Linked DNA regions of Callithrix jacchus. The protein of the gene in region 1 interacts with the protein of each later gene in a pairwise test. Links are inferred from orthologs where the notes say so. Each region holds a gene or a part of one and is shown in the gene's direction. Other genes may lie near its edges.

Region 1 (4,326 bases):
TGGAAAAGACTGTATCTTTCCATCATATATGATGCTTAGTTTTGCTGGATACAAAATTCTTGGCTAATTATTTTGTTTGAAGAGACTAAAGATAGGGCCCCAATCCCTTCTAGCTTGCAGGGTTTCCCACTCATTTTAAAGGAGAAACGTTTACCAGAGTTGTTATTTAGCATAGAGGCTATGTGGAAGTTTGTATTAAGAGCTGAGAGGCAATAAAATTGGTAACTGACAGGAACTATGCTCGGTCTTTAGGATTTATCAGCTTTGAGACTCCTGAGACTGGAGAATCCGACTGTGGATAGCTAAAATCAATGTAACATCTCAGTTTTTATAATGAGAAGTGTACCCCCATTAGCTATCTATGCTCATTGCAAATATGAACAATTCAGAAGACTAAAGTGTAAAGTGAAAGTCCTTGAAACTTAAAGTCCCTGATATTAATACCATTCATTCACCAGAGATAAACACTATTTTAACAATATGATGTCTTTTCTTCCAGACTGCCAGTAATTGAACAAATATATGATTAACACATAAAGGATACCATATGAACTCTTTAAACTTCTAAAATTTACTGTATCAGGGAATTAATATACCTTTTCGAGCCAGTAGATATAGGTCTTCCAATTAAAAAAATTAAGTTACAATAGAGTGAGATTTGGGGTGCTATCCTTTTCGGAAAGCGTCCTCGATGAGGTCATATTTGGAATTACCCTTCACGCCCCACGTCTTCTCTGGGCTCCCGCGGACTCCAGGCTGAGTGCTGAATTGTGGATTTTCATACCCAAACCTCTGTTATTTCAGTATCTCACCTGGTTCCTCCACAGCGCAGAAGCGCATCCCAGGTTGGAAGAGCCTCTCCGGGGAGACTCAGCGAAGCGCTATTCAGGGCCCAACTCAAGCCCAAGCCTAGCTCCTCCTCAGGTCGTCGCCAGAGACCCCACTTCTCCCGAACCTCACCGGTACCCCGCCCCTGACTCCGCCCACCACAACACGCGGCCCCGCCCCTCCCCACCCCAGGCTCCACCCACCATCCGGGCTCCGCCTACCCGGAACCACGATGTCGTCCTTGTTCGGGGCTCCGTCCACTGGGAGCTCGCGCCACTCACCCCACCCCCGACCCGCCCATTTAGCTCGGGCTCCACCCTCCCAGGAACCTGCGCCGCTCGCCCCGAGCTCCGCCCACTTCGTCCCGGGATTCCCGCGCCGGGAACTCAGGCTGCTGGCCACGCCCCACCGCGCTCCTGGCCCCGCCACCCAGAAACTGCCCCGGCTGCCCCGCGCTCCGCTCATCCCGCCCTGGGTGCGCGTGCGGGCCGCTGCACGCCAGCCCCTTCCTTTGCTACGTCAGGTCCAGTCGGTCTTCCTGCGGCTGGGGCCCTGGCTGAGCTAGCCGGCCATGGAGGGTAATGGCCCCGCTGCCGCCCAGTACCAGCCGGCCAGCCCCCCGCGGGACGCCTGTGTCTACAGCAGCTGCTACTGGTGAGGAGACGCGGGCGCAGCCTCCGGGTTTCCCCGGCTCCTGGGCCGCGAGTCGCAACCGTGGCTTTCCTCTTCCCGGCCCCTTCTCGCGGGCGCTCCAGGCCTCGACCGGCGGGTTCTACAGTTTCTGCGGGAGGAGGGAGCAGGAATGGCAGCTCTCGTCTCTTGAGTAGAGCGTGGGCTATTGGATGGGGTTGGGAATTCTCCGGAATCATAGGGTCGTTAGTGCATTTCCTGTGCTTGGTGCTTGTGGGTTGGATTTGCTCTGCAGATCTCTGCTTGGGGGCAAGGCAGGGGTGGAGCTCTGAAAACCTTTGGAAGTTACTCTGCTGAAGCTTGTGGGGTTTAGGACTTAGGTGAAGGCTATTTTAATTTTGGAAGAGAATGGAGGCACAGAGAGTTTGGTGTAACTTGCCAAGGTCACCCAGCTAATAACCCTGAATCCAGTTCAGGCTCCCTGACGTCAGAAACCATGATCTTAACCGTGTTGTCATTATAATAATGGTTACATTTACACAGCGCTTGCTTTAGGCCACGCATTATTCTGGGTAGTTTGGGTAACATAAATCACTGAGCATCACAGTCACCCTAAGAGGTAGGTATTGTTATCCTCATTTTAAAAGATGAGAGCACTGAAGCACAGAGGGCTACAAGTAATTTGCGCAGGGCCACGTAGCTTGTGAATGAAGGAGTGGGAATTTACAGGCAGAGTCTGGCCCTGGAGTCCACGCATTGCATTTCTGTCCTAGGCCACCTCTGCAGCTGAAGCACCACCCCTGCCTTGGTACTTTTTGATTCCGATACCTGCTCTTGCCTGAGTAATGGCTTCTTCCCCAGCTTCCAGTCCTTGCACAGGAAACCTCAGGGCTCTCTAAAATTACTCCTCCCCTTTCTGCTGGTCACTAAACCAATGCCACCAAGAGCTTAGCATTTGTTTGGCCCTGATTGCATGTCAGGCTCAGTGCCAGGTGCTTCCATCGATGTGCAGGAGGTAAATTCTTTTATTATCATTATCTTCATTTTACTAATAAAAAGCCTGAGTCACAGAGAGGCTGTTGTGTGCCCCCAGATCATACATCTAGCAAGTGGTGGTGCTGAAACTGGAACCTCTTTGTGATTCTGAAGTTCATGTGTCTTAACTGTTGCACTGTTTTTCTGCCCTGCCTCTCTTCTAAATCCTTTTAGTTCTCCTCCCTAATGTCCATTCATTGTTTTATTCGTTCTTTCAATAAATGTTTGTTAGGCAGTTGGTAATATGTGGTACACTTCTGGGCACTGGGACTATAGCAGTGAACAAAATCGACAAATTCCCTCATGAAGTTCTTGTTATATTTTGATGAGAGAAAAGCAGACAAGGCCAGGTGTGGTTGCTTAGGCTTGTAATCCCAGCACTTTGGGAGGCAGAGGTGGGTGGATCACTTGAGGCCAGGAGTTTGAGACCAGCCTGGCCAACAAGCAAAAACCCTGCCTCTACTAAAAATACAAAAATTAGCTGGGCAGGGTGGTGGGTGCTGGTAATCCCAGCTACTTGGGAGGCTGAGGCAGGAGAATTGCTTGAATCCAGGAGGTGGAGGTTCCAGTGAGCCAGTGCCACTGCCTTCTATCCAGGGCAGCAGAGTGAGACTCCATCTCGAAACTAAACAAAAAACGACAAAAATGAGTAAGCAATGCTTGGGTGGTGGTAAGTGCTGTGAGAAAAATAAGATAAAGCATGGTGACTTATTTTCTATTACGATATTTTGAGAAGACATTGTTATCAGGTGATAACTTGAACAGAGATCTGAAGAAAGAGGGTGAGAGCTTTGCAACTTTTGAAGAATGGTTATTTAAGCAGGGAGGATAGCAGGTACAAAGGCTCTGAGAAGGAATCCTGCTGTGAGTATGATAGGAACAGCTCAGAGGCTGGTACAATTGGAGTACTGAAGTAAAGCAGTCTTGTAGAAGAATGGTAAGAGATGACCACTCTACCACAGGGTTTCTCAGCCTTGGCTCTAGTGACATTTTGAGCATGAAAATTCTTTGCTGTGGGGGCTGTCCTGTGTATTGCAGGATGTGTAGCAACATCCCTGGCCCCTACCCACTAGATGCTGTTACCACCCCAGCCCTAGATGTGACAACTGAAGATGTCTCCAGACATTGCTAAGTGTCCTGTAGGGGTTGGGGGGCAAAATCACCTCTTGCTGAGAACCAGTTCTCTACCCTGTCTGAACACATCAGGTAGGACACCACACTACTTCCTGCAGCTGTGTGTGTGTGTTTTAAGACAGTCTCAGTCTATCACCCATGCTGCAGTGCAGTGGCGCAACCTTGGCTCACTGCAACCTCCGCCTCTCCAGCTCAAGCCATTTTTCTGCCTTAGCCTCCCCAGTAGCTGGGACTACAGGTGCCCACCACCACGCCCAGATAATTTTTGTATTTTTAGTAGAGACGGGGTTCCACCACGTTGGCTGGGCTGGTCTTGAACTCCCAATCTCAGGTGATCCACCCATCCAAAGTGCTGGGTTTACAGGTGTGAGCCACGGTGCCCGGCCATCCTGCAGGTTTTTTAACTTGAAATGAATGCCTCCTGTTTACTTCTGGGTCAGTAGTGCCTTTCCTGTGCTTGGTGACTGTTGGTTGGATTTGCTCTGCAGGTCTCTGCTTGGGAGTGAGGAAGGGTGGAGCTCTGAAAACCTTTGGAAATTATTCTGCTGAAGCTTGTGGGGTTTCAGACTGAGGTGAAGGTTATTTTATTTTGGAAGAGAATGGAGACACAGAGAGTTTTGTGTAACTTGCCAAGGTCACCCAGCTAATAGCAGCCAGAAATCCAGTTCAGGCTCTCTTCGTCAGAAACCATGCTCTTAA
Region 2 (3,842 bases), on another chromosome or scaffold:
AAGGGGAGGCCCCTCACTCTGATCTCCCCATGGGGTCCTGTTCTGCCTGCCAGTAAGGGAAGGAGCCTGGTCCTAGAGCAGAGTGGTTTGCCCTCCGACCAGCCCAGCACTCCAGGTGACCTCAGCTTGCCCCAGGCCCTCCTGTAGGTTGGCACTAATTGGTTTGGCTGAGGCTCTGCTTATTAAGTAGTTGTTGTTTTAACTAACATCCCAGGCAGGGTGGCCCAGGAACCCCCTGGGGGAGGTGGTGCCAGGCTCCCGGCTGAGGGGCAGGCTGCTTCCAATTATGACTGGCTGGCCCCAGTGATCAGGACCAGGGCCCATGTGGCACTTTGCTGGAGATCTAGGCTTGGTGGGGTAAGGAGCAGGACCAGCTCAAAAGACTGGTGGGGGCAGAGGCTGCCTCTGCAGGGCAGAGTCCTTTGGCAGCCAGGGCGGTTGGGCATGGAGAGGTCAGCTCACAGCTCAGGACCAGAGCACTGTAGAGGTCTCTGGGGTGCACACAGGAATCAGGAGTGGCGCTGAAGCACATCCTGTCCCCTGCCAGCCCTCCGCTAATAACAGCTGACATTTCCCAAGTCCTTCCTGATTGCCAGGCATCGTGTTATGTGTGCAGTTTGCAAGTGTTATCTGATTGAATGCTCACAACAAGGCTATTAGATAGGTACTATATCCTTAACTTATTATTACTATTATTTTTGAGAGTCTTCCTCTGTCACCCAGGCTGCAGTCAATGGCATCATCTCTGCTCACTGCAAACTCTGCCTCCAGGATTAAGCGATTCTCCTGCTTCAGACTCCCAAGTAGCTGAGACTACAGCTGCCCGCCACCTCGCCTGGCTAATTCTTGTATTTTTAGTACAGCTGGGGTTTCACTACGTTGGCCAAGCTGGTCTTGAACTCCTGACCTCAAGTGATCCACCCACCTGGGCCTCCCAACCCTGAGGTTTAACAATAGGCCCCAGGCCAGGTGATTGACAGAGGTCTGGTGCATTGCAGGGGGACAGAGGAAAACATATGTCCCCATTGGCCACCTTAGATGCCCTTCCTCACAAAGGATGCCAGTGCAGTGACCTGCCCACCTCTACCCCATCCTTCCTCCCAGTCCTTGGCACTCTGGGCACTAGGGCTGCTCCCCAGGTGTTCTATGCCCTCCCAAATCTGTCCCATGCCCTGGCCTCTGCCCTTTTTCAAAACATAGATGTGGCCAGCACCTTGGCTCATGCCTGTAATCCCAGCACTTTGGGAAGCTGAAGCTGGAGGATTGCTTGAGCCCAGGAGTTCAAGACTAGCCTGGGCGACACAGTGAGACCCTGACTCTACAAAAATTATTTTTTTTTTTTTGAGACGGAGTTTCACTCTTGTTGCCCAGGCTGGAGTGCAATGGTGTGATCTCGGCTCACCGCAACCTCCGCCTCCTGGGTTCAGGCAATTCTCCTGCCTCAGCCTCCTGAGTAGCTGGGACTACAGGCACGTGCCACCATGCCCAGCTAATTTTTATATTTTTTAGTAGAGATGGGGTTTCACCTTGTTAACGAGGATGGTCTCAATCTCTTGACCTCGTGATCCACCCACCTCGGCCTCCCAAAGTGCTGGGATTATAGGCGTGAGCCACCGCGCCCGGCCTTGACTCTACAAAATTAAAAAAAAAACTTTAATCTGGGTGTGGTGGCGCATGCCTCTAGTCCTAACTACTGGGGAAGCTGAGGAGGGAGGATTGGTTGAACCCAGGAGTTTGAGGCTGCAGTGAGCTATGATGGTGCCACTGCACTCCAGCCTGGGTAACAAGAGTGAGACCCTGTCTCTAAAAAAGAATTAAAAAAAAAATGTTTAAAGAACAAAACTGGCCAGGCACAGTGGCTCATGCCTATAATCCCAGCACATTGGGAGGCTAGGGCAGGTGGATCACCTGAGGTCAGGGGTTTAAGACCAGCCTGGCCAACATAGTGAAACCCCGTCTCCACCAAAAACACAAAAATCAGTCATATATGGTGGCAGGTGCCTGTAATCCCAGCTACTTGGGAGTCTGAGGCAGGACAATCGGCTTGAACCCGGGAAGTGGAGGTTGCAGTGAGCCGAGATTGCGCCACTGCACTCCAGCCTGGGCAACAGAGTGAGACTCCATCTCAAAAAAAGAATAAAACATAGATGTCTACATATCATCCCTCTGCCCTTCGCTCCTGGGAAATAAGGGGTCACCCACTGGAGGGTGTCAGGGTGCTCTTCAGAGACAAGGGAGTGGTGGGAATTGGGATCTTAGTCTGGCTCCAAGCTGTGAGGGAGAGTTGCAAGGTACATGCTTGATGGACACCAGAGTCAAGCCCAGAGGCCCCGGTGGAATAGGGGTGAAGAGCATGTGTTCTAACTTCAGACTGCTGGGCTGCAGCCCTGGCTCACCCACCCTGAGTGAGGGCAGGCTGCATGCCTCTCTGTGCCTCAGTTTCCCCCTGTCCATAGTGGAATTGTATTGGTGCCTACCCCACAGGGTTGTGTCAGCAATTAGGATGGCACCTGGCACCTTGGTCAGTCGCAGGAAAGGTTCGAGAAGCTACTGTGGTCCCAGGGGTGCCTCAAGCCCTGCCACCATCTCCTTGGAGTGGTGCCATGTGGTGGGAAAGAAACCCCAACTTCAAGGCCAGATACAGTGGCTCATGCATGTAATCCCAGCTCTTTGGGAGGCGAGACAGGAGGATCATTCAAGGATCACCAGCCTGACCAACACGGTGAAACCCCGTCTCTACTAATAATACAAAAATCATCTGGGTGTGCTGGTGGGCACCTGTAGTCCTAGCTACTCAGGAGGCTGAGGCAGGAAAATCTCTTGAACCCAGGAGGCAGAGGTTGCAGTGAGCCGAGGTCAAGCCAGTGCATTTCAGCCTGGCCGACAGAGCAAGACTCTGTCTAAAAAAAAAAAAAAAGAACCCAAACTTCGGTGTCCAGCCACATTCCCATGCTCGCTCCCAGGGTGACTCTGGGAAGGTCTCAGCCTCCTTGTCTGCCCAGTTAGAATGATCTGATGCCCCCGCTACCATCAGGCTTGATACGTTTCCTGAGGACTCTTTGCAAGAGGTACTGTTCTGGAGGGTGGAGAAGAGACTCATTGTTCCTGCTTTCTTTCCTGGCCAGAGTGGGAAGCTGTGGGGTGGCCGATTTGTGGGCGCAGTGGACCCCATCATGGAGAAGTTCAACGCATCCATCACCTACGACCGGCAGCTGTGGGAGGTGGATATTCAAGGCAGCAAAGCCTACAGCAGGGGCCTGGAGAAGGCAGGGCTCCTCACCACGGCCGAGATGGACCAGATACTCCATGGCCTAGACAAGGTACTCACCGCGGCCCGAGCCCCACCCGAGGCCCCTCCCTGTGACCCCAGGCTCCCACCAAGTCCCTGAGCAAATAGTGCAGCGTTGCCCGTCTGCAGTTTCACACTGAACTAATTATGTACTCAAGTGCTGTTTAACTGTGTGCCTTGATGACCACCTCTCTCCATCCTTTAATGACCTCTGTGGCCCACACGGCTCAAGGGAGAAGGTGTGCTAGGCCCGAGATGCCCCCTCCCAGGGTGGGCTTCCAGGACTCAGCTCCTAGACAGGCACAGTCAGTCATGAGGGATCGGGTGGGACCAGGGCAGGGGCTGTCTTGGCTGCTGATACCTGCTCACCTGACCCCTGGCATTGCTGCTACCTGCTCTAGGTGGCTGAGGAGTGGGCCCAGGGCACCTTCAAACTCAACCCCAATGATGAGGACATCCACACAGCCAACGAGCGCCGCCTAAAGGTACGACCCCTGCAGCCCCACTGATTTCCTGGCCTCCCCTCTCGACCCAGCCCTGGGCCACTTTGAGC
Region 3 (4,567 bases), on another chromosome or scaffold:
GCAAATGTGGTGTTACCTTATTTCGATGTGCAGTTACGTATAAAATATGCACTGGATTTTGAAGACTTGGTATGAGAAAAGAATGCATAAGATCTGGATTTTTTTAATGTTGAATACTTGTTGAAATACTTGGATAAATTGGGTTAAATACATAACTAAAATGTTCAATTGTTTCTTTTACTTTTTAATCGTGGCTGCTAGAAGATTCTAGTCTACGTGTGACTCACATATTTCTAGGTTCTGAGACAGTGCCCTGGCCCATTTTATTGAACGAAATATCCAATCTCGAGAGGTCGAATGAATGGGTGAATGAAGATGTATAGTCTCAAGCTTCCATTAGAAAAATAGATACAGCATTGCCGTAGAAGTTTGGAGATACGGGTTCTGGCTCAGAATGTACTGGAAACGCCTTGGACAAGCCCTACCCTACTCTGGCCGTCAATTTGCCCATTAGATAGTATCTTTGAGGTCTGGAAGCTTGCTAGAATCAGTGGAAGAGAAATGCATCAGGAAAGCTTGATAAAACGGCACTTGTCGTTTCCGCTCTAGCCTAAACACTTGAGGCTCGGCAGAGGCAGCGGGAATCAGGGACTACACCCCGAGAACCCAGTACCCGGGTCCCCGACTTCTCCGAGCCTACGTCACTGGGGCGCGACGGCGTTGTCCTCGGGATTGCAGCGGCTGAGAAATTCCATTCGGTGAAGGCGAGTTCCGGGCCAACAGAGGGTCACACCATTTCCGAGTCTCTCGGAGGCTCAGTTCTCAGTGCACCATCACCCACCGCTCTCCCTTTTACTTCACCCCTATCCGACTCTTGGCCCGGACCCTGTGAACCCCGCCCGGAGCGTCCAAAGCCGAGTCTCATCGCGGCTGCGCAGGGCACGTGCACAACCTCGCAGAAGTCTCGGCGATTGGCTGTGACGCAATTTCCGGCGTGAGCGGCGAAAGCCGGGAGGGCGAGCGAGAGTGCGACCAGGCAGCAGGCTGCCGGCGGGCGGGCGGGCGGCACGGAGGGAGGGAACGAGCGAGCAGTGAGTGAGCCAGCGAGGGCGGCCGGGTCCCGAGGTCAGCCGAGATTCCGCAGGTACCTCTGGCCCCCTCCCCGGAGTCCACAGCGCCTCCGGTGTCCCGCGGATCGGACACGGCCCGGCCCGGCCATGGCCTCGTTGCTGAAGGTGGATCAGGAAGTGAAGCTCAAGGTAGCGGCGCCAGTCCGGCCTTTTTGCCCCTCACTTTGATCCCCCAGTAGTCTGACCGGCTTCCTACTCCCCATGGCGTCTTTGTCTCCCTGGGGATACCAGCTCTGAGCTTCCGCTCGGCTCAGCCCAGCCCCCAGCTCCTGGGGTCGGCTTCGCGGGAGAAGAAAATATAGGATGGCTTTCTGTACCGTGTCTGATGATGAAGAGTCCCGGGGTCACCTCCGCGGACACGTGTTGGACTCAGGGCTTTAGGCCGGTGACAGCTGGAAATCCCCCAGCCCAGCAACGTCCCTGGGCACTGCCCCTGCCCTTGGTGGTCTGCCTTGTATCATAGGCCAAGTCTGGGTGGGGATTGGCACGTTTGTGAGCTCACATCTCCCCTAACTACCTGTCTTTTGTCTGCTTATGAAATTCAGACAGCTTCAGACACAGGGAGGGTGGGAGGGAGAGGAGAGGAGACAGGCAGGTGCTGCCCTCAAGCCCTGCGTCCTTCTCCTGAGATGGAAAAATGGGTCCTCAAAAAAATAAAGTATTTGCAGTCTGGGGGCCTCTCAGCTTCATATTACAGTTACAAGGTGAGGGAAAGACAGTTGGATTTGGGATTCTCTATCCTGCTCTTACCTCTGTCCCCAGGTACTCAATTGCTCTCTTTGTTAATTTTAGGTTGATTCTTTCAGGGAGCGGATCACAAGTGAGGTGAGTGAAATAAATAGAAAAATGGGTGTTGGTTAATTGAGAGTTTCCCAAAGAGGAGATATCTATATAGAGAGACCTTCCCACAGATACTAATTCAGCTGTATTTTCCCTCCTCTTTAGGCAGAAGACTTGGTGGCAAATTTTTTCCCAAAGAAGTTATTAGAACTTGATAGTTTTCTGAAGGTGAGAGACCCTTTTCTTTCCTCAGATTCCCCAATTTTTTTGGCCCTGGTATTACTGTCAAGCGGGACAAATTGTGTGTTGAATCTTCTTCTTTTTATTTTTTTAAACTGTAAAAGCACTTTGATTTCTTGCCCTTCAAATCAAATACTTCTTTGTTCAACTTGAAAAGATTAATGTTTTGGGGTGGGTGTCTTTCAGGAACCAATCTTAAACATCCATGACCTAACTCAGATCCACTCTGACATGAATCTCCCAGTCCCTGACCCCATTCTTCTCACCAATAGCCATGATGGACTGGATGGTGTAAGTGTCCTATGTTTATCTTTGTGTTCTTGAGCAGTCGGTCCTCTGTCCTGTTTCCTTGTCAGTTCAACATGTACAGAGGCAACAGTGGGATTTGGACCTGGGAACTAGGACTCTGTTATAGACATGCTGACTCTAGTGTACTCCTTTTATTTCTTATTTATTTATTTATTTTTGAGAAAGAGTGTCACTTTTTTTTTGCCTGGGCTGGACTGTGGCAGCTCAAGCACTGCTCACTGCAGCCTTGACCTCCCGGACTCAAGCAATTTTCTTTCCTCAGCCCCCCAAGTAGCTGGGACTACAGGAGTACGCCACCATGCCCAGCTGATTTTTGTATTTTTTGTAGAGACGGGGTTTCACCATGATGTCCAGGCTGGTCTCAACTCCTAAGCTCAAGCAATCAGCCTACCTTGGCCTCCCAGAGTTGGGATTACAGGCGTGAACCACTGCACGGGGCCTCTCGTATATTCCTTTTAGACCCTGAGTTTCATTTATGACATGAAGTCAATATGCTAATGCTATTTTCAGTGTTAGAGTGAGTTTCAAATAAAAGAAAACTAGCTTTATCAGGTTACCTGGATTTTCCCATGGCTCTGAAGAAGACTTTACTTACCTTTTTTCTATGTCCTGAGTAGTATTACGGGATACAGAGTTGTTCTTGCTATATAACTGCAATCACCGTCTTTGCTCTACATTTTTAACACCTAGTCCTTACCAGTCACATGTTCACGTGCTGTTAGAACACTGATGATACTGTATTCTTGTCTGTAGTACTGCCTCACTGATGGAACTTGTATATCTGGAAGGCAGGATCTATCTTCTTTTTTTTTTTTTGAGACAGAGTCTCACTCTGTTGCCTAGGCTAGAGTACAGTGGTACGATCTTGACCTACCTACTGAAACCTCTGCCTCCGAGGTTCAAGTGATTCTCCCGCCTCAGCCTCCTGCGTAGGTGGGGTTACAGGTATACACCAACATGCCTGGTTAATTTTTTTATTTTTAGTGGTGACAGGGTTTCACCATGTTGGCCAGACTGGTATCGAACTCCTGACCTCAAGTGATCCGCCCACCTTGGCCTCCCAAAGTGCTGGGATTACAGGCATGAGCCACCGTGGTCCAGCTGGAAGGAACTATCTTATTCTCTGTATTCCCAGTGCCTAGTGTTGATCCTCATCTATGGCAGTTGCTAAATACATGTTTGTTGACTGAATAATGTGTTCCTTTGTGGAACCAGCAGATTTGTACATATTCCCTTAATTATCCTCCCTGCTTTGATTGGTTCTTTTTTCCTATTCTTTATAATACTTAATGTATTGTATTTCTGGAAAGATTGGTCTTCCCAACTAGAGCATAATTTGCTTTGTGGCAAGAACCTTTTCTTTCTTTTTTTGAGGGGGGACAGAGTCTCACTCTGTTACCTAGGCTGGAGTGCAGTGGCACAATCTCGGCTCACTGCAGCCTCAAACTCTTGGGCTCAAGCCATCCTCCTACCTCAGCCTCTCAGGTAACTGGGCCTGCAGGTGCATGTTCCATCATGTCCAGCTAGTATTTTTTGTGGAGATGGGGTTTCCCTACATTGCCTGGGCTTGTTTCAAGTAATCCACATGCCTCGGCCTCCCAAAGTGCTGGGATTACAGGCATGAGCCACGGCGCCCAGCCCAAGAATCTTTTCTTTTTCTTTTTTTTCTTTTTTGAGAAGAGTTTTGCTCTTGTCACCCAGGCTAGAAGACAGTGGTGTGATCTCAGCTCACTGCAACCTCTGCCTCCCAGGTTCAAGCGATTTTCCGGCCTCGGCCTCCCAAGTAGCTGGGATTACAGGCGCCTGCCACCACACCTGGCTAATTTTTCATATTTTTAGTAGAGATAGGATTTCACCATATTGACTAGGCTGGTCTTGAACTCCTTACCTCAGGTCATCCACCCACCTGGGCCTCCCAAGGAGCTGGGATTTCACATGTGAGCCACTGTGCCCAGCCTCCGAGAACCTTTTCTTAAAGCTTTATATGTACTTAGGAAATTGTACAGAAATTAATAACACAAGCTGTGAGGCTGAGGAAGGGATTAAACTTGTTTGAAGGGTATCTTGTGATGGAAATGTGGGTGTCAAAAGCAGGCTCATCCCTGCCTCTTTGTATCCATAGCCCACTTATAAGAAGCGAAGGTTGGATGAGTGTGAAGAAGCCTTCC
Region 4 (4,454 bases), on another chromosome or scaffold:
TCTCCTGCCTTAGCCTCCCAAGTAGCTGGGCACCTGCCACCACACCTGGCTAATTTTTGTATTTGTATTTTATTATTTATTTTTTGAGATGGAGTCTTGCTCTGTCACCCAGGCTGGAGTGCAATGGCACAATCTCAGCTCACTGCAACCTCTGCCTCTGGGGCTCAAGCCTCCCATGTAGCTGGGATTACAGGTGCCTGCTAGTTTTTTGTATTTTTAGTAGAGACAGGGTTTTGCCATGTTGGCCAGGCTGGTCTTGAACTCCTGACTTCAAGAGATCCACCCACCTTGGCCTCCCAAAGTGCGGGAATCCAGCTAATTTTTAAATTATTTTGTAGAGACTGGGTCTCAAAATGTTGTACAGGCTGGTCTTGAACTCCTGGCCTTAAGCTATCCTGCCACCTTGGCCTTTGAAACTGCTGGAATTACAGGTGTGAGCTGCCCTGCCCAGCCAGTATTTTCACATAAACATTATTTCAGTGAATTCTCACAATCCTGCAGACACTTACAGACTCATCGTTTCTTGCTTAATGTAACACAACCTCACGTGGTAGTCCCATCAGTCAAATCCAGCATATTTCACTCCATGATTACCAAATGCACTATCCCGTGTATTGAAAAAGGAAGATTGGAGGTCACTCAAAGAGCAGTGAAGTTATGGAAACATGAAAATTTTCACATGACTGTGAGATTGAGTGTTTGGCTATTATCAGGAAATGTTAAAAATGTCTATTTTTTTTTTTTTTTTTGAGACAGAGTCTTGCTCTGTCACCCCGGCTGGAGTGCAATGGGGTGATCTCAGCTCACTGCAACCTCTGCCTCCAGGGTTCAAGTGATTCTGCTGCCTCAGCTTCCTGATTAGCTGGGATTACAGGCAGACACCATCATACCTGGCTAATTTTTTTGTATTTTAAGTGGAAGCGGGGTTTCATCATGTTGGCCAGGCTGGTCTTCAACTCCTGACCTTAAATGATCCACCTACCTTGGTCTCCCAAAGTGCTGGGATTACAGGTGTGAATCACCACACCTGGCCCAAAAATGTCCATTTTCAACAGTGGTTTAAAACCCTCTTGAACAGCAAGAGGAATAAAAGTCAAAGGACATATTGTGACAGCAATTGATTATATAGGAACTCTGGTGAATGAGAATCGTTTTTAAATTACTTTTTTTGTAAAGTGCAGAAGCAACAATAGCACCCATTTGCGTCATACGTTATACTTCGAAAAGCACATAGGAAAAATAAAGGTAATGATGAGGATCATTGCAATTCATAGGAAAGAGGAAATGAAAATGAAAGGGAATAGTAATCTACATAACTAGTCAATCTTCCTTAAAAAAAAAAAACCTTAAAATATCTTTCTACCATTCATTTTCTATTTGATATAAGGCAGAATGGGAATGATAAAAAGAATTACAGTTCAGAGTTTCAAAAAGCAAATCAGCTTTAGAGCAATCCTTGAGGTTGGGCTGCTAACAAGATCACTCAACTGGTGTTTCCTGACAGTCAACGTCAGAATAATTCCATCTTCATGAGAATTACAGAAAGAACCACAAACCAAACCTCCAAATTGATTGTAAGATAAGATATGCTTAAAAAAAATTTCCCTTCCTATCAGAAGGCAGACCAAGAGGAAGTTTATCCCCCCACTCACAAATTCTCACGGAGAGCTTTTCATCTAGAAGGTTTGACTCCGGTTAGATACCCAGCGAGCATCTTCTCTGAACCTCTTGTTTCTTCCATGGCAAACTCCAGAGAATAAGAAGCCAGATTCAAGATTCCATGGGCCTCAGGACGACTAAACAGATGGGGAGAGGCACTAAACCTGGTCACCAAGAGTGTATGTAGACATTTGTTGTTTTCCTACGTTTCTAAGAGCTGGGTTTTTAGCCAGAGGTTGCTTATTTATGATAATTTTCTGATATATTGGACACTAAATACTATTATCTCTTTCCACCCAACTTTTATCTTTCCGTTCTTATGTGCGAAGACAGAGAAAAATTATTTAGAGCTCTTCAAAGATTCCTACTAAGTTTAAAATGCCCGTAGCCTTCCTATAATAGCTTCAAGGTTGATGATAGCTTTAGTTAAAATATAGCAATCTTAAATATATTCTTCATAACCAATTCCAACGTGTTCTCACTTAAGTCCTGGGTATTGAACGTATTATTTTAAATATTTGAAGTCAGCATTTCCGAGAGAACCCGAAGCTGTTTCTTCTAGAGAGGGTGTGCGTGTGAATCGGGCAACTTCTTTTCACTCGTTTTGTGCGGCACTCACCCTGGAGGTCTAATGCCAAAGAAAAATCAAAATAGAAAGTACCAGCGTGTGCCATCATGCAGCGGCAGAGACTGCTTAAAGATCGGGAAATTGTTCAAATATCAGATCGCCGGCGGGCATCTCAGCCCAGGCCTGTGTAAGGGGAGTTCTGGTGCCTCCGCTGAGGGCCTGATTAGGGCGCCAGGAAAGCGACCCGCGTCTGCAGCCGTTTCTTAAGGCCAGTCCTTCGCTCGCGGTCTGTCCCGGGCGGCAGTCGTGTGAGGCCCCCGCTAGGAGCCGGCCAGGGGAACGTGGGCACCAGGCAGGGAGCGCGCTCCGGGCATTGGGGACGCCGGGGACACCCGGGGCCCCTCCTGGCCTCCCAGCCCCGGGTCACGGCACTCCGGCTCCCGCCCCGCGCCTCTGGAGGGAGGTACCGAGGGACGCCCGGCGAAGGGGCTTTGCTAATTGCCAAAGCAGGAAGTGAGCTCGTGGAAGAAGCCGAGCAGAAGAAGAAGGAGGGAGGAGGAGAAGGCGGAGGAAGGCCGGGGAGCGCGGAGCCGCGGAGGTTTGCTCCAGGCGCGTAGGAGCCGCAGGACTGTCCATCCCCGAGGTCCCACTGTCCTCCCGCGCCCCGAAGGCCGGCCAGCCCCGTTCGGACGCTTGTTTGCCCCTAACCCGCCCCCATGGCTTCACCGGAGGAACCTCTGGGCGCAGGTAAAGGGACACAGAGCCGTGCCCACACCTGGAGCGGGCGCCGCGGGTCGGGAGCTCGGGAGGCGCTTGTAGCAGCTGCAGGGCCATCGAGGCCGAGCCTCGGTGACCCTTGAGGGCCGCCGGGCGACCACCCCGATCCAGGCGCCAAACCCGGAGTCGCGCGGGGCCCCCAGCCCAGGTCCGCGAGCGGCTGCTGACCGCCCCTCCTGCGCTCCCCACGGCCCCTGCGCCGCGTCACCCACCGCGCGCCCTCCCCCTGCCCGCGCCGCAGCGCGGGTTGCTTTTGTTCTGGACTCGAGATGCCAGGTTGAGACACGTCCCGCAAACCTCTGGCAGAGATGGGCGCAGTGGGGTGGATTTCGTTGTCTCTTCTCGGGCTTTTTCTTTCTCCCGGCTCACATGCCTTCTCATTTCTCCTCTCCCTCTTGCCCATTGCGCTTTGATGAAATGGTTTTGTTTGTCTAAACATTGGCCCTGGGAACTATTTCATGAGATAGTATCCGCAGAAGCGAGAGGCCGATCCCACCTGTGAGATCCCATCTGTGGTTAGAATGACCTCTACTCTGTCTTTATTTTAAAATATGTGTTGGTACCCGAGGTCAGAGTGGAGATTTTTCACGTGAATCTAAAATCCGTCCCACACCTTGCTTTCCTGGAGTTCTCTCTGCTCGCCTATAACCTATGCGGTGACCTCCATGCGTGTTTCTTGAACACAACAATGAATGAATGATCTGTCTCCCAGAGTACACTGGGGCTTTTCGTGGTTTTGTTGAGGCTGGAAACACTGAAGAGAGTTACGCAGAACCTGATATAACCGTTTACATAAACGCGTTTCCTATTTCATTTCTTGAGCTTGGGCAGCGGCGGAGTTTGAATGTTCCATCCTTATATTATGGCTTCAGCGGTTAGAAGGAGACAGTGCGTCTGAAGGTGGTCAAGAGTCTACACCCAACAGCCAAGTTGGCATTGTGATGGCTGGGTTTGGGGGAGTTTCTTGGAGACTTTCAAAGAAAGATCTACCTTCTTCTTTAAGTGGGGATTGGTAAACATTGTATCAATTAGATGTGGAAAATAAATACATTGTCTAGATATTCTTCCCTATCCCCATACCTATTGTTTGAAAAAATAGAGGGGGAAACAAACAAAGAAATCCTTCTACTGCCCTGTGCCACTCCACTCACCCTAGCATCCACCTCCTCTTCTGAGAACTGAATTGACAAGGTGCCAAGAGGTGTTTGAGGCTAGATCTGACTAATCATGGTCTCAGATCTCATTAAATGATGATTGTAGGGCTGGGGGTGGATTCACAAAAGACCTTGAGAGAGATACACTGCATAGAGATAAAATGTAAAATCTAAATCGACAGTACCAGGCAAGATGGGGGCTGGGAAATAGCTAAGCAGTGACCGCAGTGCATAAAAAGCTCAGTGGCTGGGTGCAGTGGCTCAGACCTGTAATGCCAGCGCTTTGGGAGGCTGAG
Region 5 (4,561 bases), on another chromosome or scaffold:
TCCACTGCCACCGGAGCAAACACTCCTCTCATAGTCCAAGGTGTTTCCTTTTCATAACAATTCAGTTTTAGTTTTCTATTTTTTTATTTTTTGGAGACAGACTCTCATTCCATCGTCCAGGCTGGAGTGCAACGGTGCAATCTCCGTTTATTGCAACCTCTGCCTCCTGGGTTCAAACAGTTCTCCTGCCTCAGCCTCCCAAGTAGCTGAGATTGCAGGTGTCCCCACCTCGCCCAGCTAGCTACTGTATTTTTAAGAGAGATGCGGGTTCATCATGTTGGCCAGGCTGGTCTTGAACTCCTGAACTCAAGTAATCTGCCCTCTTGGCTTCCCAAAGTGCTGGGATTACAGGCATGAGCCACCACACCCGGCCAGCAGTTCAGTTTTAATTGTTCATTTATTTGTGGAATCACTTCAGTGTTTGACTCTGCCCATTTGGATGTAAGCTCCAGGAGGCCAAGGACACCATCTGTTTTGCCCATTGCTGGAACTGAGCACTTGGGCACGTGCCTGACACCTAGTGGGTTTTCCTTAACGCATCTTTTAAATGGATGGATGGATGGATGGATGGATGGGAAGATAGGTGGGTGGATGGATGGGAGGCAGGATGGGTGGGTGAGTGGATGGATGGATGGATGGATGGATGGATGGATGGATGGGAGGGTGAGTGGACGGGTGGTGAATGGATGGGAGGGAGGAAGGGAGGATAAAAGCATGGGTGGATGGGTGGATGGATGGATGGGAGGGTGAGTGGACAGGTGGGTGAATGGATGGGAGGGTGGTGGGTGGGTGGATGGATGGATGGGAGGATGATGGGGGGTGGATGGTTGGGAGGGTGGGTGCATGGACAGACAGACGGGAGGCGGAGGATAGATGGATGGATTGGAGGGAATGTGGGAGGGTGGGTGGGTGCATAGATGGATGGGTGGGTGGAGTGTGAAGGAAAGATGTTCTGGGGTGAAGACTGGTTCTGGGAGTTGTGAAATGAAGGGGACAGCCTGAGGGGGCATGCGCCCCGCTGGAGGTAAGGGTAGGCCCGGGAGGGTGTGACGGAGCCGCGGTGCGTGGGCGCCGCTCCCAGGGCTGGAGCCGGCAGAGGGCGCTCTGGGCTCGCCGGACACCCGCGCTCAGGCCCCTGCAGAGCGCCGCGAGTGGGAGGGGGGGGACTTTAGAAGCGGGGGCAGCAGGAGACTTTTGGGGACCAGATCCCAGGGGAGCCGCCCCGCCCCCAGGCCTCAACTTCCCCTCGCCTCCGGGCAGCTCCTTCTGTGGCCGTGCCCCGCGCCCCGCGCCCCGCGCCCCATCGGGGAGTCCCCAGGCCGGGTGCCCGTCCGGCGGGGGTGGGGGCGGCGGGGAGCGGGCACGTGGCTCAGGGTCCGGCCGGCCCGCCCCCCCAGGCGCCGGCCAGTCCCCGCGGTGTCCGCGGCCGCGCGGGCATTGGGAGGGAGGGCGGGGCCGCGCGGGGAGGGGGTCGTGCGGGGGCGGGCCGCGGCCAGGCGGGGTCGGCGGGCTTCCGGGCGGCGGCGGGCGCGGCGCGATGTGCGAGCGGGCGGCGCGCCTGTGCAGGGCCGGCGCGCACAGGCTGCTCCGGGAGCCGCCGCCGCAGGGCCGAGCGCTGGGCGGGCTGCTGCGCTGGGTGGGCGCCAGGATGGGCGAGCCCCGGGCGCCGCTGGCCCCCGCGGACCCGGCGGACCCGGGCCCCGGCCCCGCCTCGCCGCGCGGGGGCACCGCCGTCATCCTGGACGTGAGTACGCGCCGGCCGGGACCCCCGCCGTGGCCTCTGCCGGGATCCGGAGCCCCCTCCGCCCCTCGGGCGGACCCCGACGCTGCCCTAGCTCGCCTCCGTAGGGACCCGCGAGGCCCCCCTACCGGGACAGGAGACCCCCGGCCCCTCCCCGCCCCTCCGCGTCCCAGAGCGGGAGCCCCCAGCCCCGCCATGTCCGGGCCGGTCTCCAGCCCAGTCCTCTCCCTGGACCGAGAGACCCCCTCCTCCGTTCCTCCACCCGGGCTCCTCGGGGTCCCTGCCCGCCCACAGTGGGGATCCGTGAGCCCCCGGACCCGGCCATCGTCCCCCGAGTTTTGTCCCAGCCAACCCCCCACCCTTTACCCTGCGGGACACGAGCCCCTCGCGGTCGCCAGCCCCCTCCTCCTCTCCATCTCGGATCCTGTCGGGAGAGATACTTAGTTCTGAGGCCCCCAACAACCCCTGCCTGGCTTCGCTCTAGACCTTGAGCCTTCCACCTCATCTCACGCCCAAAGACCCTTTGCCCAGCCACTGCCACTTTACAAGTGAAGCCCCCTCCCCACCTTCTGTCTTCTGTCTCCTTTACACACTGTCAGAGCCATCGCCTATCAGCCCTGAGCCGGGACTCCTCTGGCTTCCCCACCCCGCCCTTCCATTCCAAGCCCCCTCCTGTCCTCTGTTCCCTTCCCCACACCCTCTCCCCTACCGAGAGCTGGGTCCTCTTCATTTACCACTCACCCCTCACCCCTTCTAACTCCCCTGGGACCCAAACCACCTACCTCTGGGAAGCCAATGTCACCCTCCCCCTCGCCCCACCCGGGAGGGAGGAATCTTCAGGGAGTGGGTCGGGGGAGGAAGACTTCTCCAGGCAGAGAGCGCTGGGAGGAGGTGGAGGAGGCGTCTGGGGATGTGGACTGGGTGTTTCAGCCAGGGTCCTTCCAGGGTGGGGCTGGGGGCTGCCTCTGGCTATGTGGTGGGTTTCTGGGAGAGTTGGAGGTGTGTGTGAGTGTGTACACGCACGTGTATCGCAGATCCCTGTGGGGGGGGATTCTCTCCCTTCCTCTCTCCTCTTCCCTGCTCCTGGAACCCTCTGTGGGGTCTGGACTGGAAGGGCTGGACAGGGCTCGGGGAGCTCTAGAGTGCCACACTCACAGGCACACACACACACACACACACACACACTCACTCACACGCTCGCTTAGGCACGCACACCTGTGCAGCCACTCCCTGCGCCAGGACCTCAGCAGAGCTCTCACTGAAAGTCCTGGGCTGAGCCCTGCCACCCCAGGCTGCCCTTCAGGGAAGCCCTTTGGTGGGGCTCTGAGCCTCCCTCTCCTCACCTGCCACTTGGAGTGATGAGCCGGTATGGGGCGGGGGGTGGGGTGCTCGTGTAGACTCCTGCAGCTGGCTAATGTTACCAGGTGTTAGCCCTGCCTTGTCACTCATGTGTTCAGCGTTCCTGCCCAGAGTTGGCACCTGCCTGGTTCCTGGCCTCAGGGGGGGGATCTGGGATACCTAGATAGGGACCCCAGCTTTGAGGGACCTTGCCCAGTCAGGAACAGGGTGTCGGGTGCCCAGGCTGGAGCTTTGAGGAGGACCTGGGGGTCTGAGGTTTATCCAGGAGGAGAGGTGATGTTTGAGAGGTCCTCCGGAGCTGTGCTTCAGTCCCACACCACCCAGGCACCTGGAAATGGCCAAGGGTGCCCCTGTCTCGTTGCTTGGAGGGATGGAGGGCGGCGGCTCCTGTCCTTTTCCCCAAGGCAAGGACCAAGTGGGGAAGGGTCAGTGAGTATTACCTCCTCCTCCTCTGTGGCTGACCTGGCCCCAGCAGCCCTCCCTGGTGTCTAGGGAAGTGTGCACGTGTTGCTCCCCCTCCCTGGATCTCAGCACCCTCCTTGCTAAAACAAGCCGGTAAGAGTGGGGTGGGGCCACTCCAGACCCTGGGATCCTTCTGAGGCTTTAACGTGTTGGTTACAGTGAAGGGTCTGAGTGCACTACAGCACAGAGTAGGTGGGACACCTCCCATTGCAAACAAGCTTCTGTGAATAGCAAGGTCTTAGCGCACAGGTGTCAGTGCTGAGTGTGCCTGGGAAGCTTGAAAAATGCTGAAATCAGAGCTGGCCTTACAGCAGCTGATTCAAGCCTCCTGGGGTGTGGCCTTGGCTGAGGAGGTTTGGAAAGCGCTCCAGGGGATGGTGTTGGAAGGGGCTGAATGTTGCTTTAGAGTCTCAGCCTGGCAAGCGGCACCTGCCAGCCTGACCTTGAGGGAAGGGAGTACCTCTGTCCCAGGGATTTGGATGTCACTGGAAAGGCAGGAAGACGAGACACCTGGTCTCTAGGTTCAGGCCAGCGTTGGGGCTGCCCCCACCTATCCCTGACTAATGCAGCCAGAACCTCATGGAGGCTGCTTTCCTGAGCTCCTAGCATCCTGTTTTCTCCTCCTGCACCCCAAAATTAACCCCATCCTGCCTGTGGCTGTCGTTGGCACCAGGCCTTGCAAACACCTCCGTTGCACTTAACCCAACCTCCCTGGAAACACACCAGGGGTTCTGGAAGGACTGCGGTGGTAAAAGTTGTGGCGCTCCCTGGGACGCTAATTTAGAGTGTGATTGTGTGCGGCTGTGCGTTTGTTTAGCGGTAGGTGAGGCCAGGTGGACTGATGACTATGTATGTCCACCTGCAGGGTTGGTGGTGGGCCTGTGTGTGTCTGTCAGCGTAGCCGGGGGCAGGCTGGTGGTGCTGGCAGCCACTTCCACGTAGGCGAGGGGAGGACCTCTGCCAGTAACATGCTTCCATTGTTCCCCCAGATCCCAGCCC
Region 6 (3,149 bases), on another chromosome or scaffold:
CTCATCCACATGCACTTACCGAAAGACATGCCCATATTTTTACATAATGTAATTCCGCTTTGTGTGTTGTTCCGACTGGCTTTCCCATATAAAATATAATTTGGTGGTCATTGCTTATCAGTACATACAGGTCTCTTTCTGATCTATAGCTGCATCATTATTCAACATTATTACCAAAATTTGGTCACTTTTTCACTGTGTAATTTTAATGTTGGATTCAGTTATTTGTTATCGTTACCCACACTGAACCTGGTCTGGACCTCACTTCCCTCCCTTTGGTGACTCCCAGCATCCTCACCCTCTTTGAAGAGCAGGAGTTCAGGTTAAGTTCCCTGAATGGTGACTCGCAGGGGCAGCTCTCCTCTCACCTGCAGCAATGACTACCCCTCCCCATCTCAAACACACAAGCTCAGGCGTGCGGGACTGGAGCCCTTGGGGACGTGTGGCCGGAAGATTCAGGACGTACAGGGCTCAGGGCGTGCAGTGGAATGAACTGGGCTTCATCTCTGGAAGGGGAAGGGGAAGGGGCCATCTTCCGGGTTCACCGCCGCATCCCCACCCCTGGCACAGCGCCTCCTGGCGACTAACATCGGTGACTTATTGAAAGTGTGATATAGCTAGCCTAGAGTTAGAACTTGTACACTGCCAGTTTATAAAGGACAAAACTGTTTCCATTCTCCTCACAATGACTGCTAGCCATGGCCTCTGTAAACTGCTAAGTTTACTTTGCAAAATGTAAAGAGAGGTAAAGTTGCATACTTTCTCTTATCTGTAACTGCCAGAATTGCTGGCCTCTGTTTACCGGTACTAACCAGAGTAAGCACCCCCAGATAATTCCATCCTGGCGCCAAGCAACTGAAAAATCTGTGGACCCCACACCTGTCCAAATAATGTATAAACTAATGTTTATCTTAACTTCTGTAAACCTCTTAAGCGGCAATCGGAATGACAAAAGTCCCCTGGCCCTTGGAATGTCCAGAGCCCCCTCACCCTAGTCTAAGCCTAGGAGGTGATTGACAGCTGTCATTCCCATCTCCACTCCTCACCCCCACTCCCAAGGTGGTTTTGCGGGTATAAAAAGATCTTGTCACCCTTCTTTCTCTGCCAAGGGTTGGAGAGACGTGAGTCCTCCGTGGTCGCCGGCAATAAACCCTGCAATTTGGCATACTTTTGTCTTGGTGTTGACTTTTTGTGCTCAGTCGGATACAACAAAAGTACTAAGAAAGACCAGAGGCCAGGCTGGGAGAAGCCGATTTCGAGCCGCCACGTGGAGATCCGCTAGGGACGATGAGCCCGGCCTAGCGGTAGTCGCTGGAAGAGCCGTCGGAGTCGCTCACGGTTAGGTCCCGCAGGGCGGAGCTGAGGCAGGCGGTGACGTCTCCACTCGGGGCGGAGCCGAGGTAGGCGGTGACGTCTCCACTCGGGGCGGAGCCGCAGCTTCGCTGGGAGGAGGCCTGGCGCCGGCGGTGACGTCCCAAAAGGCGGAACCGTATCCGAGAATTCAGGCACGTAGCTCAGCGCGGCAGCGGTGCTTGCGTCTGTGTCCCTGCGCGAATCTCCTGGTCTCTCTGCCATCATGCCGATGTTCATCGTAAACACCAACGTGCCCCGGGCTTCTGTGCCGGACGGGTTCCTCTCCGAGCTCACCCAACAGCTGGCGCAGGCCACCGGCAAGCCGCCCCAGGTTAGTTGGGAGGGTACGGGAAGAGGGGGTGCCCACTGCACGAGGGGGTCCTGCACTGGGGGCTGGGGAGGCGAATCCCGAAGGGGGCTGCGGGACAGGGCGGGAGGAAGAGGTGGCTAGGGCCCAAAGTGGACGCCAGAGGCCTGGCGAGGTAGCTGAGGCTCGCTGACCGCGCCCCTCCTCCGCAGTACATCGCAGTGCACGTGGTCCCGGACCAGCTCATGGCCTTTGGCGGTTCCAGCGATCCGTGCGCGCTCTGCAGCCTGCACAGCATAGGCAAGATTGGCGGCGCGCAGAACCGCTCCTACAGCAAGTTGCTGTGTGGCCTGCTGGCCGAGCGCCTGCGCATCAGCCCGGACAGGTATGCTGGGGCGCGGAGGGGCCGCGGCGCGAGGGGCCAGTGGTGGTGGGGGTGGCGGCGGTGGTGCCGGGCCGGGGACTGAGCCGCCCGCTGAGTCTCGCCTCCTCCCCCTGCAGGGTCTACATCAACTATTACGACATGAACGCCTCAAACGTGGGCTGGAACAACTCGACCTTCGCCTAAGAGCCGCGCCCCGCCTCTCCCCGCGCTGTCTGCACTGGCCCAACCCGGGAACCCACCTCACCCTGTATTCTAGGCCCGCCCGCCTCCACCTTCTGGTGGGGAGAAATAAACGGTTAGAGAAAGTTTCTGCTGTTACGGTGGCTACATATTCACTCATGGAGGCATGACAGGGACATCTCACTTCCTCAGAGGCACGATTAATCCAAGGAATGCCGTGGGAGGGGAGGAGAGAGCAGGTGGCCTGTGCCTCCACTCAGGTCTTGAGAGAAGCAGGGTAGTCAGACTCCACTCACCTCCGCCTCCCAAAGTGCCAGGATTACAGGCGTGTGCAGCGGCGCCCAAACGTAACGGAAGGCTTTACAGATGTGTCTGGCAAACACGAATGGTCCCAGTGGAAACCCCACGCCTGATTTCCTCAGGGAACTGTTGTGGTGAGGCTTGGGTGGCTGAGGGGAACAGAACCTAGGCTCAGGGTTTGGGATGGACAGAACCTTATAACAAATAACTGCACCTCCCCACCCACCTGCCTGCAGACTCTCCTTACATTCCCTAAAACAGCTGTTTGCAGTGAGTGGCTCTGGGTGGGAGAATCTTTCTGTCCTCTGGCTACCTTTTGCCCACCAAGAAGGCTGAGGAAGGTGGGGCTGAAAGAAAGGTCTAGGCCTAGGACCTCAGACTCCTTCCCAACTCCAACTCCTCCTCCCCCTTTTCCAGCCTCCCCTCTGGCACCCCATGTGCTGACCCCTAGGTAGAAGGGATTCAACTGTGGGTTCCCGCCCAGAGTCGTGAATCTACCTCAGGCAGCAAAGTGCCTTAGGTACTGAGTCTGCAGCCCAGGGCAGGGTGCCAATTTCTCCTCATCTCTTCATACCCCAGAATGTGGAAACACACTGGGGCTTCCCTGTTGGGAGGTAGGAGGGA
Region 7 (4,446 bases), on another chromosome or scaffold:
ACATTTATTAAAACATTACCCAAGAAAGCTTGCTCTTTTTTTAATCACTAATAAAGAAACACACATATATTCTCTCACCACAGGTCCATAACTTCTGGCCCTGAAGCGTAATCATAGCCTTCAGACCATTGCTACACACAGCCTGGGCAGGGGTAGGCAGCAAGTCACCCGGCTTTCAGCAGAATCAGTCCTGCACTAGGCCTCCTCACTGAGAACTTGCATTTTTTAAAGATTGCCAGGGTATTTGTGTGCATCTTGAAGTAGGCCGTGAAATCAGGAGAATAATGGGAGAATAGAGTATTTTCAGTCATCTGGCTCTAAGTAAGCAGAAAAAAAAAATTATGGCCTTGTGAAATGCAGGCCGTAGCTGTATTTTTTACCTTCCTACCCCAGAACGCAGTCCAATAAAAAATACACAGGTGCTATGAGTTTCAGGTAGTAAGTAGGCTCACACCCCCTATTCATTATACGTGGCCTATATGCTGCACCCAGTGATGTGAACCAGGTCCTTCAGACACTGCTTGGGACACCACAGCTCCCCTCCAGTGGAAAAGAACCACAATGGCTGCTGGGACACATGGTAAATGAAGAGCCTGGGTGCCACCGTCGTCTAGCTAGTAAACTACAGGCGTGGGAGGTAGTCTGCAATGGAAGTGGCACCCAGTTGTTTTTATTGTCTGTTCTAAAAGGTGCGGGCTGGCACAGGCTCGCACGGGTGGTAGTGGGGTGGTGAGGACCCGTCGCATGGGAAGTAGGAGGGTTTGTGTCATAGGTGAGGAACTGTGAGTGGGCTGTGTGGAGTTACAGTGGGGGAGGGGGCGGTCATCACCCGATAGCCTCTTCCCGCGTCAGGTTGAAAAGGGGTGTGTGACTTTCAGGTAGTACACACGCTCACTTGGCCTATTTGTTACACATGGCTTATATGTTGTACTCGGTGATTTGCACCTGGCCCTTCACACACGGCTTGGTACGGCATAGCTCCCCTCCCACGGGAAAGAAACAGAATGACTGCTGGGTGACGTGGCAAGTGGGGAGAATAGCTGCCGCCATCGTCCAGTCAGTAAACTATAGACTTCCGAGCTAGTATGCAATGGAAGTAGTTCCCAACTGTTTGTATTGTATTTCCTCAAAGGTGAAGGTTGGCGCAGGCCGGCACAGTCTGGCAAGGGTTGGGGTGGGGTAAGGAATTCTTGATAGGGAAGTAGGAAGGTTTATGTGGCCACTGCACAAATGTGAAAGAGCCGTGTGAAGTTTTGCTAGGGTGGGGGTCATCACCCAAAAACCTCTTCCCGCCACAGCCTTTAACAGGATCTGTGATGTTGAGGTAGTACGTGTAGTCATGTGGCCTATTGGGTACATGTGGCGTGTATGAAGAGACTGGTGCTACCGTTGTCCAGCCAGTAAAGTACAGGCATCTAGTCTGTAATGGAAATGGCTGCCAGCTGTTTGTATTGTATGTTCTCAAAAGTGCGGGCTCGAACTGGTGGGGTGGGGGTGAGGAGTTGCTTGGCGCGGGAAATAGAATGCTTTATGTCACTAGTGCGCAACTGTGAGTGGGCCGTGTGCACTTCCGCTGGGCGGGGAGGCGTTACCAGACAACCTCTTCCTGTCATAGCCTGGAGGCGCATTCGGCACAGAGGCGGCAGCCGCCTTAGACGTGTGGTGGTCGCGCTGCGCGATCACTCCAGCTTACAGGCCTTTCTGACAGGTACGGAGCTGGGCCTGGTCATACAAAGCAACCTAGATTAGGGGGTATATCGCCAATAACTTGCTATTTTCCACAGGGCCTAGGAGTTGCTATCCATAGTTTTCCAGGCAGAACTTCTGGGAGACCTTAGGCTGGGCAGGCCGAGACGGGTGTATCACTTTAGGTGAGGAGGTATAGCCTACCCAAGATGGTGAAACTCCGTCTCTACTAAAAATACCAAAATTAGCCGGGCATAGTGTTGGGGACCTGTAATTCCATTTATTCAGGACAGTGACGCAGGAGAATAGGTTGAACCCTGGAGGCGGAGGTTATGCTGAGCCGAAATCATGCCTGCTGCACTCCAGCGTGGACAGCAAAGGGAGACTATTCGTCTCAAAAAGAAACAAATTAAAAAATACTTTCTGGAGGCCTGTTCCACCCTCAACTCTTGACCCTTGTCCGTGCAGAAGAGCGGCTTCGGATCTTCTCTCCTAGATCCTGCCGCCTTCCACTGGTGCTGGTAGTTGGTTTATGTAGATAACAGGGTAGAGATGGAGGGAAACGGGAACGGACGTACTGGATTTCGGTACAGGGGGTTAGACTTGTATGGCGTAAGTAGTTGGGCTTCGTGAGTGGTCACTCATTGCGGTACGGATTTGACTCTGGGTGCGGGCAGGATTGAGTTACGACTTAGACATGGGTGGGGGCAGGGTTGAGGCACGAGTTCGACTGTGGGTGCCTGCAGGATTGAGGTAGGAGTTAGACATTGGGGCACGGATGATGCACGACTTTGACTGCGTGTGGGGGCAGGGTTGAGGTAGGAGTTAGACATGGGTGGGGGGAGGGTTGAGGCACGAGTTCGACTGTGCGTGGGGGCAGGGCTGAGAAAGGAGTTAGACATGTGTGGGGGAGGTTTGATGCACGAGTTCGACTGCCAGTGGGGGCAGAGTTGAGGCACGAGTTAGACGTCGGTGGGGGCAGGGTTGAGGCACGAGTTCGACTGTGGTTGGGGGCAGGGTTGAGGTAGGAGTTAGACATGTGTGGGGGAGGTTTGATGCACGAGTTCGACTGCGAGTGGGGGCAGGCTGGAGGCACGAGTTGTACGTCGGTGGGGGCAGGGTTGAGGCACGAGTTCCACTGTGGGTGGGGGCAGGGTTGAGGTAGGAGTTAGACATGGGTGGGGGGAGGGTTGAGGCACGAGTTCAACTGTGAGTGGGGGCAGGGTTGAGGTAACAGACGTGGGTGGGGGCAGGGTTGAAGCACGAGTTAGACGTGGGTGGGGAAATGGGTTGGATTTCGTGCTGGTTGGGATTGCGGTAGAGGTGGATCTTAGGTGTACGCACGTGGACCTTGGCAACGTGTGGTGGTTATGGTGAGGTAGCTAAGCGATGCAACATGGCTGCAATGCCGTAGCTTCCGATCAACATGGCTGCAGGGGCGGAGCTTCGGACAACATGGCTGCAGGGGCGGAGCTTTGGAGCGAGTAGAGTTTGCAGTGGGGGTGGGACAACAACCTTATCCTACGATCCCTTCTGTCCTATCAGCAGCCCCCACCAGCCCCCACCCTCCACCTCCCTCACCATTCCTTCCCATACTCCCTCTTTCCGCACCCCTCCCCCTTCCTCCCTCCTCCTCCCTCTGCCAGTTGAGCAGTTTCTTCTGTGGCTGCGCCAGAGTACTACTGGACACCTTTGCAGAATCACAACTGCCGTGGCCTGAGCAGAGACGTGTGTGTGGGACACAATCACAACAAAATACCTCTGCTTTGCCTTGGACAGATCCAGAGAAGCAAGACCCGTCACTGCTAACTCAGTAGCTGCCTAACTGGACAGAGCTGAAGAGCGCAGCAAGTGTGAAGTGGCTGTTATTGCAGCTTCCACGCTGCTAGCAGAGCCAGCCCAGCAAGGTGAGCAGCTGTGAGGTGGGCTCTGGTGGGAGGGACTCTGGAACCTTGGCAAAGAGTGAGGAGACAGGACTCACTGCAGGGTTCGCAAACTCTGCAGGATAGGGCCATCGCTAGGGCAAGAGTTGTTCGTTTCCTGCAGTCTGGCAGTAGGGACCTTATCTGCGTCCCTTTTCTGCCCGATTTCACCTTCCACACAATTTAAACCATGAACTCCTGTCCTTCTTTGAGCACTCACTCCTCATGCCTACCTCCCCTTTCCTCACCTACCCTCCTTGTTGCTAGGATGCTGTATTGGATGAAGACCGATGACATCACCTGTTGCTTCTCAAGGGCCTTAGCCTCACCACATGACACTACCATACAATAGCAACCCATGGTCCATGGTATGCTCTGTATCCATGGCAACACTGCAGTTTCTCACACAATCTCCACACCCACCACTCATTTCATTGCGCAGAGCTCCGGCCATCTTTCTCCTCTGTCAGGCATTTCCTGAGAAACACGGCCACTCCACCTCTCCTGCAGCCAGCCTTCACTTCCATTCCAGCAAGGAGGGTGCCAGGTGACCTGAGCCCACATAGCCCTGAGTGAGCAGTGGGGCAGTCTCCTGACTTTTGCCTGGAGGGCTTGTCAGTGTCCTCAGGTGTCAGGCCCTGCCTCCTGACGTTGGCCTTTTCACTACAGGCACCTGCAGCACACCCGGCTGAGTCCTCTGGACATCGAGGAGGAACCCACAGCAGGAGGAGGTCAGCAGGGAGTGTGGTGAGGTGGGGGGATCTTTGCCTGGGGAGACCCACCACACTCTGTTCTCCACACAATGACTTGAGCCTTGGGTAGCAGGGACTCCATCCCT

What was found.
Region 2: the proteins of NTAQ1 (region 1) and ASL interact in binary tests that used the Homo sapiens proteins (3 or more experiments, as listed by UniProt). The two-hybrid records come from large-scale screens. The link is inferred for Callithrix jacchus from reciprocal best matches to the Homo sapiens genes NTAQ1 and ASL.
Region 3: the proteins of NTAQ1 (region 1) and PSME3 interact in binary tests that used the Homo sapiens proteins (3 or more experiments, as listed by UniProt). The two-hybrid records come from large-scale screens. The link is inferred for Callithrix jacchus from reciprocal best matches to the Homo sapiens genes NTAQ1 and PSME3.
Region 4: the proteins of NTAQ1 (region 1) and EDARADD interact in binary tests that used the Homo sapiens proteins (3 or more experiments, as listed by UniProt). The two-hybrid records come from large-scale screens. The link is inferred for Callithrix jacchus from reciprocal best matches to the Homo sapiens genes NTAQ1 and EDARADD.
Region 5: the proteins of NTAQ1 (region 1) and NECAB2 interact in binary tests that used the Homo sapiens proteins (3 or more experiments, as listed by UniProt). The two-hybrid records come from large-scale screens. The link is inferred for Callithrix jacchus from reciprocal best matches to the Homo sapiens genes NTAQ1 and NECAB2.
Region 6: the proteins of NTAQ1 (region 1) and MIF interact in binary tests that used the Homo sapiens proteins (3 or more experiments, as listed by UniProt). The two-hybrid records come from large-scale screens. The link is inferred for Callithrix jacchus from reciprocal best matches to the Homo sapiens genes NTAQ1 and MIF.
Region 7: the proteins of NTAQ1 (region 1) and PNMA5 interact in binary tests that used the Homo sapiens proteins (3 or more experiments, as listed by UniProt). The two-hybrid records come from large-scale screens. The link is inferred for Callithrix jacchus from reciprocal best matches to the Homo sapiens genes NTAQ1 and PNMA5.

The regions. Positions count from the first base shown.
Region 1 is NC_133517.1:73,988,080-73,992,405, reverse strand, and holds the start of NTAQ1 (protein N-terminal glutamine amidohydrolase), read left to right. Parts: upstream 1-1,291; 5' UTR 1,292-1,399; coding exon 1,400-1,482; intron 1,483-4,326. UniProt on the Homo sapiens protein: Mediates the side-chain deamidation of N-terminal glutamine residues to glutamate, an important step in N-end rule pathway of protein degradation.
Region 2 is NC_133503.1:3,261,488-3,265,329, forward strand, and holds part of ASL (argininosuccinate lyase), read left to right. Parts: intron 1-3,125; coding exon 3,126-3,320; intron 3,321-3,690; coding exon 3,691-3,774; intron 3,775-3,842.
Region 3 is NC_133506.1:121,061,252-121,065,818, reverse strand, and holds the start of PSME3 (proteasome activator complex subunit 3), read left to right. Parts: upstream 1-1,613; 5' UTR 1,614-1,699; coding exon 1,700-1,774; intron 1,775-1,862; coding exon 1,863-1,895; intron 1,896-2,015; coding exon 2,016-2,078; intron 2,079-2,276; coding exon 2,277-2,381; intron 2,382-4,521; coding exon 4,522-4,567. UniProt on the Homo sapiens protein: Subunit of the 11S REG-gamma (also called PA28-gamma) proteasome regulator, a doughnut-shaped homoheptamer which associates with the proteasome. 11S REG-gamma activates the trypsin-like catalytic subunit of the proteasome but inhibits the chymotrypsin-like and postglutamyl-preferring (PGPH) subunits.
Region 4 is NC_133520.1:48,942,686-48,947,139, reverse strand, and holds the start of EDARADD (ectodysplasin-A receptor-associated adapter protein), read left to right. Parts: upstream 1-1,621; 5' UTR 1,622-1,780; coding exon 1,781-1,838; intron 1,839-2,748; exon of another isoform or gene 2,749-2,943; coding exon of another isoform or gene 2,944-2,974; intron 2,975-4,454. UniProt on the Homo sapiens protein: Adapter protein that interacts with EDAR DEATH domain and couples the receptor to EDA signaling pathway during morphogenesis of ectodermal organs. Mediates the activation of NF-kappa-B.
Region 5 is NC_133521.1:41,622,074-41,626,634, forward strand, and holds the start of NECAB2 (N-terminal EF-hand calcium-binding protein 2), read left to right. Parts: upstream 1-1,522; 5' UTR 1,523-1,537; coding exon 1,538-1,744; intron 1,745-4,561. UniProt on the Homo sapiens protein: May act as a signaling scaffold protein that senses intracellular calcium.
Region 6 is NC_133502.1:192,628,017-192,631,165, reverse strand, and holds MIF (macrophage migration inhibitory factor), read left to right. Parts: upstream 1-1,483; 5' UTR 1,484-1,576; coding exon 1,577-1,684; intron 1,685-1,872; coding exon 1,873-2,045; intron 2,046-2,161; coding exon 2,162-2,228; 3' UTR 2,229-2,350; downstream 2,351-3,149.
Region 7 is NC_133524.1:149,111,143-149,115,588, reverse strand, and holds the start of PNMA5 (paraneoplastic antigen-like protein 5), read left to right. Parts: upstream 1-1,624; 5' UTR 1,625-1,708; intron 1,709-3,465; 5' UTR 3,466-3,593; intron 3,594-4,036; exon of another isoform or gene 4,037-4,180; intron 4,181-4,277; 5' UTR 4,278-4,339; intron 4,340-4,446.